3 linked regions of the Drosophila melanogaster genome follow. The protein of the gene in region 2 interacts with the protein of the main gene of each other region in a pairwise test. Each region holds a gene or a part of one and is shown on either strand. Other genes may lie near its edges. The genes, in order: MtnB, CG13721 and CG13227.

Region 1 (2,774 bases), on a different chromosome or scaffold from region 2:
AAATGACGAGGTGTAGGTCATGCAGAGGATGGTGAATAGGGTCATGACCCTGTTCATGTGTTTCCGGTAAAACGATACGTTATACTTCCGCTGCGCTTCTAAATCTAAAGGAAATATCTCCTTGAGATCATCCAGCAATCTGACCAATCGCTTTCTATTCACTGTGAGACCGAACTGCTTAAAGTCGGCCATGAAGCTGAAGCCAATGCACGGTGCCACTGCAGTGGCCTCCAAAAGAGTAGTCGTCGACATTATATGGACTATAAAGTACGCGATTTCGCCCACCACATAGGCATTGAAGTTGAGAAAACCGAGTACCAGATAAAAACGTAGCAGGTAACGCCTTATCACATTCGGATCCCTATCGGAGTACAGATCCTCGCCGATGGTCTTGTAGAAAGTCATCGGAAACCGGGTAAGTTCGTCGAAGGTGATGACTTCATCGTCACTTTTTGGCTTACGTTTGCGGAACAGCATGATTCAGCTGTTTGATCGGCTGACAGAATAAGTCTTAGGTTTATATAGCTCCCATCAAAAGTGTCCCATTAAATTCGCATGAGACACCCTTCGCTGACCTCATAATTACTTAATTTAATTTGGGGTAACGGAACACCTGCCACTTGACTTTCTAAAATATTGAGTTCTACAGGAATGTTCCCAGGACTACACGGAGAAAAATCGAAGGACACTTTGGGGACGAGAGGATATTCATGCAATTTGTGGTAAGGAACTGAAGTCATACTCTAACTGAACGGTGCTGGCTGGTCAAGTTATATATGTTTATGTGATGTTAAATATAAACCTTGTGGTCAACACAAGCACAAGAATCAATTATATATTCATTATACTCGTTAAAGATATTTTTTTTTTAAGGTAAGGTAAATAAAATGGTAAAAAAGTAAAGGTAAAAAAACTAGCCGAGTTAGAGACTGCAGGAAACTTATCTAAGTCGTTCTTTTGTTGCAGGTACACCTAGCAAAAAAAAAAACAACTAAGTCAGGCCTATTTCTATATTTGTTCTCGAAAACTTTTTTTTTACTAAAAGTCATAAATATATATAAAGTTGTTCCGGGTGTTTGGTTTTCCGTGCAACGAACTGTTTTCGTAGCTCCCGCAGAGCTTATAGTTTTTGCCTAATTTGCAGCGCGTTTTTTCCTCTATTAATTTTTAGTTAGCTTTCCACATGTGATATTTTTATGGCATTTACGCTGGGTTTTTTTTGAAAAGAGTTTAGTCGTAAAGCGTTTTTGCAGCCAATATGAGCATTTAAATTTGTTTTACTACAGGAAAGTCTTTTATTTATTGTGAAAAACCCCGCTGGGTAGCTGCCTGCGCTTTTCATGCTTTTTATTGTGTGCTTCTGGGCTGTGGGCTGAGTCACGATACGCGGCGTATACGCAACGTATACGCAACGTGGGCAGCTGATAAGCTGATGAGGAGTTCGTGTGCACCGAGTTGGCGAGCAATCGCGTGCGCAAAAAGAATTGCCTGGCCTATCGTCTGATAAATTGCGAACCACTCGCCCCAGACTTGCACACGACGTGATAAGTTGGGTCAAACAAACAAATTTGTTTTGGATTTGTGCAATTTTGCACTCGTTCGAGTTCGAGGCAATCGAAGTGGGTATAAAAGTGGGGGAGTTGCCGGACTGGGTCATCAGTTGAATAGCCAAGCAACAAGCAAACAAGTGAATATCAGTTCGCCTCAGCCAAGTGAAAGTCGAGAAATAGATACATACAAGATGGTTTGCAAGGGTTGTGGAACAAGTAAGTGGTACAACGCAGCAGCAAGCTGTATAATTGACAATCGTTCTCGATTCCTCGACAGACTGCCAGTGCTCGGCCCAAAAGTGCGGGGACAACTGCGCCTGCAACAAGGATTGCCAGTGCGTTTGCAAGAATGGGCCCAAGGACCAGTGCTGCAGCAACAAATAAGCGGGCCAACTATATAACTAACTGTTTAACTTCTAAACTGGAGCTTAACTCCCAACGAGTTGGCCGCAATAAATAAAGTTTATAAAGATTTTGAGCATTTAAAAGTTTCTGCCGTTAACTTTTTGTTACTGGGCGGTCGGTCATCTTACCAAGCGATAATTATATTTTCGGCTTTTGGCAGCTAAAACCAATTATGGTAAAATAATAAACGTGAGCTGGCATTCAGTTAAGCAAACCGCAAAATAGAATTACATGAAAAATAAGCAAACGCAATGCGACAATTTGGGCGGGATTTGCAAATATTTGTATGTTCGCGGACAGCTGCACCGGAATTAAAATCCAATCCATCAGCCGTGATTTTGGTAGAAAACTCACCGAAAGTCCATTGAATTGTGCGCAAAACGGAACATAAATCGAAATAACATTCAATTTTCGTGGCCATCGAACTGAAACCAAATTATTTAGCCGCTTTTATCTGCGACTGAACTTTGCCCATATGCCAATGGCCGAAATTGCAACCCACTTTGTTTTGAATATAAAATGTATTTCGCTTTTGAGGCAATTTCTCAAAAATGTTGTGCCGATTTTATTGCATTTTCAAAAAATACATATATATTCTGCTCTACTAGCAGCAAATTCCTCCAGCGTTATGTTGGGTTTAATAGTCTGCCAATGGAATAGATACGTTTTGTATCGGCCAAATAATAACTTTCTGGCCAAGTTTTATTTATTTAATAGCCTGCTACTGCTACCCATTTCACACACTTTTGTTTAAAGAGCGGTCGAGCTTTCCATTCGAGTGGCTAGGCCTGAGTTTCCAACTGTCAAAACCAAATGACC
Region 2 (3,378 bases):
GGTCATCAATTTGCAGCAATGCAACCAACTGCGACAATCGGCGACGTCGCCAAAGACTTTTCAAACAGCACGACAAGTCAGCAGAGCGGGAAAAATTAAAGGAGAGGCGGCGCAACTTCCGGAATAAAGAGGCAACAACCACAACAGCAGCAACAACCAAGGCGACAACGACGACAACAACAACCACTGGCAAATCAGTGTTTTCAAGTGCCAATTCACTTGCGGAAACTTCCGCAACTCCGCTGGCCAGTCGCCTGGTGAATTCACGCAAATCCAAATCCAAATCGCCAAATAACAACCGCAATAGCAACTGGGGCCGCAACGATGACTCCATACTCTATGCGGATGTAATGACAAATATACGCAACTTGTGGCAGGAGCACGATCAGTTGGCGGGACCAAGGTTTATTGCACCTGACGAGGTGGCCAACAATACGGACTATCGCACCTTGGACGTTTATCTCAAGCAGCTGGATGATTTGGCCAAAAAGCTACCCACTGTGGCTCCCATTAGTGGTCTCAACAAGGAGGAGCTGCAGCGAGCTACGCCAACGCCCAGTTGGTACTTGATAAACTCAGAGGGAGGGATCTTTGAGACCCGACTGGATAGTCAAACTAAACCCTCGTCGTCCCTATTTCATCGATTCCCCGACATGCCCAATCAAAATCAAAGTGTGTCCACATTGGACTTGGAGTAGACATTGCTCTTAAAGTTTTAAGCTAGTTGTTACTTATTTATTTACAAAGAATAAAGTATTATTACTGCAACGGAGTTAGAAATGAAAATTTCTAAATGGCATTTACGTTAGTTTTAATTAAATGCAACTTATATAATTATTAAGTTATTAACAAGTAGTTAACTTATTAACCCTGCAACTCTTCGCCTCAACTCCTCCAAAGCTACATCTCTGGCGGATTCTTGGTGGCCAACCAAGCATTTAGCTCCGCTAATTACAACAACTCCCAACTCTCAAGTCACAAGTTCTTGGCTAATGCGGCAATTTAGATAAGCCCTAGCTGGCAATTAGCCCCGAGCTTGAATCCAAGCTGCCAAACGTGCGAAACGCATTGTCCCAAGCCCTGACCCCGCCAGACATGCAAAGTTGTGAGAAGATTTTCGGCAATTAGGCAGGTACATGGAAATTGAGTGGCTCAGATGAAGCGGAAGAAAATCTGACCTGACCTCTCTTACACGGGAAATATGTAGATCTGTCGGATCTCTCATTCAGATAATACTTGTTTTGGTTTCTGATCTACGTAATAGTTTTGCGGGGATTCTTGGAACATTTTCATTTCCACAATCGTTTTTTTTTTTTTTTTCGCTACCAAGTCTGAAGTTTTTGGGCGTCGTTTTTTTTATGGGATTAGAATGTTGTCCGGCCACTTTGACAAAGAATTATTTAATTTATAGAGCGTGTGTTGGGTTTTTTATGATTATTATTTGGTGTGTTGGCGGGACGAGCGATAAATTAGAGTGGATCGATAGCGAAGAGTAGAGAAATCGGTCTACATTATGTAAGCAAATGAATTTCTGGCCTTTAAAGAAAAGAAGAGGGGCACTGCCCATTGCGACATTGACCCCACTGATCGCAGCCAGCGGGCTGAATTGGTGGCGGAGTGGGCGGTGGGTGGTAAGAGAAAAACAGGCAAACAAACATTGGTTGGCCCAAAGCATTGTAATTAGTAGTCGGTCATGCAAGAAATAGAAGCCTCCCACCAACCCCCCTCTTGGCCAATTCATTGATGTTTCGGAGGGGGTTTTCTTTGAATTGTTAGAAGCACACGCAGCTGGAGTCGCCCAAATTGAAGGGGGAACCGTTTTTCGCTTAGACAATTGTTTTGTCGCTGCGCATTGATGGCAATGCGGCGTTGCAAGAATCGCTTTTTGGCCATTATAAAAGCACAGTGCACGTTTCCAGCGTCAGTCAGTCAGTTTTTGTAAGCCCCGAGTGGCATTTCCATTTCCAATACTTTGTTGTTTGCCCAAAGAAAATCCGCCGAAATACTCACCAAAATGTTCCAAGCCAGAACCGTTTGCCTGCTGCTCGCCCTCAGCCTTTTGGCCATGTTCTTTGTCGGATCTGAGGCCCTGCCACGCCCACAGGAGGGTCGTGAGGAGGGCGGCGATCAGGAGGCGAATGTAGAGGCTGAGGAGAAGGATCTGGAGGGAGCTGCATCCTTTGGATACGGATACTACTCGTCACCCTACTTGGGTGGCTACTACGGCGGATATTGGCCACATTACAGCGGCAGTTACTACGGAATTGGTAAGATTATAAGAAGAATAGAGTAAAAATATTTCGTTCGGAAATTCGGGAAATTCGTGACATGGAGGATTATGTTCTAATTTTGATAAAGATCAAAACGGGTATAATCTTTGAACTTACTTACTCGCAGGTTATCCATACTATGGAGGTTACTACGGATTGCATCATCACCATGGGCACTATGGACACTACTTCTAGGAAGGGTTCTTAACCCAACCAGAAATAAATACTTTTACAGCCTCAGTAGAACTCTATCAGCACCAGACATCTATCAGCACTAGAAAAAATAGTACATTTAGTAATAGAAGCCGACAGAGAATAGCCATTAATAGCCAGCACTAGACTCAATAGCCAGACGATGCGTTCTTGACCGGATAGCGAACAGATTAACTGCACTGCCCCTTGGGCGAGGATAATTGCTTCAATAAAGCATAAAATCACAAAAAAAAGAGTACAACCAACTAAATATTACATAAATAAATGTTATACTTTGTACAAATTAATGCCTGCGTGCTTGATGGCTACTGTTGATTGTTTTAATTTTACTCCTAGCTCTTTATTTTATGCCATCGTAAAAACCTCATGAAGCGAACAGCTAATTTGCAATTCAAATGGAGCTAAACAAAAATTGGCTCCATATCGTTAGCCTAATCTAATTAATAGGGGTTTTATTTCAGAAGCAAATTAACTGTACAAATTGGCAAGAACTTAAGCGGACGTTAGACGTAAAAGTTTGGTAACAAACGACAGAAAAGTACAAGTAATCTTCGGTTATTTGATTCCTGTTGTACCCCTCGGCGTATGCGTAATTTGTGAGTGGAATACCATAAATCTCTTAAGGCGAGCGAGCATTGTGTAAGCCAAGTGTCTCAGATTCTCAAAATAAACTCGCCGAACGGTGCTGCCCAAGACTATTTGTCTTGATCGGATTTTGACAGGCAACAATCGGATATTGGAAGTCAGACATCAAGTCCGAAAGGTCACGGAAGCGACGGACAATGGACATCTAAGATTAACGGCCGGCAGACGGCGGCGATGGTGCGACAATAATCGTTTGATTTCACAGAGAAACTTTAGCATACATTTTATTCAGTTGATCTAAGGTCAATCG
Region 3 (2,982 bases), on a different chromosome or scaffold from region 2:
TCCTCCTCCAAATTTTTTGTCGTACCGGGCGCGGTATCCACCACCGAATCCCCTCGCTCGCACGCGATAGCTTTCCTTGTAGCGTCCAAAACCGGCACCACCTCCGATTCCGCCACCAATGAATCCACCTCCACCTGCTAGGCCAAGAGCTTGCGGCTGCTGTTGGATGAGGGGCACCTGTTGCACGACGGGAACCTGTTGGACAACGGGCACTTGTTGCACAACGGGAACCTGCTGGACTCCTCCGATGCCACCAACTCCGCCAATGGCTGCCACTCCTCCAACCGCTCCGATTCCACCTCCTCCCAGGGAATGGGCTTCAGTCCGCCAAGCGCCAATTGCCAGTAATAACAAAAAATGCACTTGAAGATCGCACCTCATCTCGGCTGAGTGTCCAATAACGATGTGAGTTACCTTAACTAAATCACCTGGCTTTTAATGCCCAGGCCGGCGACCTTCAGACCACAAACGATGACGATGATGAGGTGTGAACCACCTTACCAGTGGGCAAAACCATGATTCCCCCAATAGAACCGCCAAAACATAGATGGGGCCTTAGAGTTATGGGTTTTTTACCCGGGCGCCCCAATATGCAAATTGGAAGTGCAAACAGTGGCCACTAATTAATTTGCATAAATAAGCAGCTGGGAGTGGGGCAGACCAAACAGTTAACCCCATCATGTTGTGGCAAACTGTCTACCTGCTCGTCTTGGCGTGCGCCGTGGTCAGCACCACACCGATCCTCTCCAGCGTCGACGAGGAGAACATTAGAAGACCCCGTCACATTGGTGGATTTGGAGGTGGCGGAGTCGTTGGAGGCGGTATCGTGGGCGGCGGCATCATCGGAGGCGGAGGAGTTGCTGCCCCCATAGTGGCAGCCCCCGCTATCCAAACAGTTCCCGTTGTGTCCACTGTGCCCATCATCACCACTGTTCCCGTCATACAGACGATACCCAGCTATGGCTACGGATATGGCGGTGGCTATCCCGTTGGAGGAGGATTGGGCGGACTAGGTGGCATCGGAGGCGGCGGATTCGTTGGCGGCGCTGTGGGTTTTGCCAAATTCAAAGGCGGTTTCTTTGGCTAGACGTTTCCGAATAAATCTGAGCGTTTCTTGAGACCCTCTAGTGTAAACAATGGATAAACAAAAAAGTACTGCAAGATCGAGTTTCATTTTGCCGAGTGTTTGGAATCGACAAAGTCGATGAGCTTGCATATTCCGTAGTTAACTGGCTGTTATTTCTGGAAGAGTCTCTCGCTGCTATTTGCTTCCATATATATATGTACATATGTATGTCGAATATCGCGCGAGGCGAGGCGGATGGGCTTTTTAAGTGGTAAACAACAAGCCATCAAGCGATTACAGTGGGTCAAGTTGGCTGGCCTGAAGAGCGGTATCCAATTGTGGGTTATCGGATTGCTAATTGTAGTCTTTATCGACTTTTGTTGATTTGTCTTGTCATGTCAAGAATGTTCGTCTCAAATGGTATCTGGTTACTTGGTACTTCAAATATGGATCTTAAGAATATATTTTACTCTGATTATTATTATAGTAACCTTGCATCATTCACAGTTAATTATCTACCCATTATGATCTCAATCAGTTGCACATCGAGTTACAATCCAAAGAGATCTAGTTTGCGTTCCACGGTTGCCTCACACTTCCGCATCATAATTCATTTTATATACCCATTAAGATTGGGTCAACCTTATGTATTTGTATAAGCGATTTTTTGGGTTTTTCAAACCGACGATTATTCTCGGCGTCTTTGCCTGACTGCGATTGAAATTAGACGAAAAATGTAAAAAAAGACACTCAATGGCAATCAAGAAATGCCAATGAACTGCCTTTGTTTATGACACCAGGTGCTGGGTGTTCTTGGCAAATGTTTGGCTATAAATTAAAGCCCAGCTGGGCGATGAGTTTTAGTATTTGACGAAGTTGGAGAAGGAATACGACATCGAAATGGATCACAAGTGGATAATATTTTTCTTCAGCATTGCTGCTCTGCTCTTATGCAATTTTGTTAGAGCCGATGAAACGGAAACGGAAGTGGTGCAGGAGAAACCAAGCTCTATTCAGCTGCTGGACGCCGGAGAAACGGCCCAGTCTGATTCCACAGACGAGAACGTTAGGAAAGTGCGCCAGTACTTTGGACCACCACCGTTTGGACCACCGCCACCACCCTTCTTTGGACCACCTCCACCACCGTACTACGGCGGCGGCTTTGGTGGCGGATTCGGCGGTGGTTTCCAGAGAACTCGAGTGGTCACCCGCACCCGTTACCGCGGACGCGGTGGTTACTATGGCGGTGGATTCTACGGCTAATCAGTTTGCATGGATTTGATTGTGCTTGATTGTGATTTGTGATACTTCTTTTGTGCTGCCCCATTGGGTGCAATAAAATTGCTTGCCTTATGCAAGTTCATCCAATCGCTTGTTTTTAAGAGTTTATTAATAACACGTTCGATTTATGGCGGGGAAAGCTGAGATCGGAGGTGTTTATAAGGGGGCCACGAGGCTAAGCTGCAGAAAATGTTCCGCTTGCTGCTGCTGTGGATCACTGTGGGGCTGGTGGCAGCTCTGGATGAGCGGGAATTCGATCCGCAGGTGGCACCACCTCAAAGTTCAGGTAACGTGTGTTATTTTGTTATTTGATTATCCTAAAATTCTAATTTTATTCCTTTTCCAGTTCCAAAACCCTTTCAGCTGTGGCGAAGTTTTGCGAGTCATGTGCGTCTTGTCTTTAGTCGTCTTCAACCTAAGTCACCAACTCCGCCCACCGTTAGGACCAAAACGGGTATAACTACCACCACTCCCGAACCTGAACTGCAGTTCTATGGAGCTCTGAATCCCATATACCAAACAGGGAACTTTTAATGTTACTTAACTAAGCTTTATTACGAAACTCTTAGACTATATTTTGGGTGAGTGCTGTTGCTTTAGCGGAACTTCTTGCCGAATAGGCTCTTGAAGCTGCC

What was found.
Region 1: the proteins of CG13721 (region 2) and MtnB interact in a two-hybrid assay, tested with the Drosophila melanogaster proteins (one large-scale study listed by BioGRID).
Region 3: the proteins of CG13721 (region 2) and CG13227 interact in a two-hybrid assay, tested with the Drosophila melanogaster proteins (one large-scale study listed by BioGRID).

What each region holds. Positions count from the first base shown.
Region 1 is NT_033777.3:20,502,498-20,505,271, reverse strand, and holds MtnB (metallothionein B), read left to right. Parts: upstream 1-1,653; 5' UTR 1,654-1,741; coding exon 1,742-1,766; intron 1,767-1,827; coding exon 1,828-1,934; 3' UTR 1,935-2,170; downstream 2,171-2,774. Other genes in the region: Or92a (odorant receptor 92a), read right to left, coding at 1-477. UniProt on the Drosophila melanogaster protein: This protein binds cations of several transition elements. Thought to be involved in metal ion homeostasis.
Region 2 is NT_037436.4:4,496,295-4,499,672, reverse strand, and holds CG13721 (uncharacterized protein), read left to right. Parts: upstream 1-1,895; 5' UTR 1,896-2,014; coding exon 2,015-2,267; intron 2,268-2,397; coding exon 2,398-2,465; 3' UTR 2,466-2,790; downstream 2,791-3,378. Other genes in the region: CG13720 (uncharacterized protein), read left to right, coding at 1-698.
Region 3 is NT_033778.4:11,233,324-11,236,305, forward strand, and holds CG13227 (uncharacterized protein), read left to right. Parts: upstream 1-1,928; 5' UTR 1,929-1,966; coding exon 1,967-2,329; 3' UTR 2,330-2,432; downstream 2,433-2,982. Other genes in the region: CG13218 (uncharacterized protein), read right to left, coding at 1-381; CG13228 (uncharacterized protein), read left to right, coding at 680-1,087; CG34223 (uncharacterized protein), read left to right, coding at 2,537-2,633, 2,694-2,881; CG13217 (uncharacterized protein), read right to left, coding at 2,944-2,982.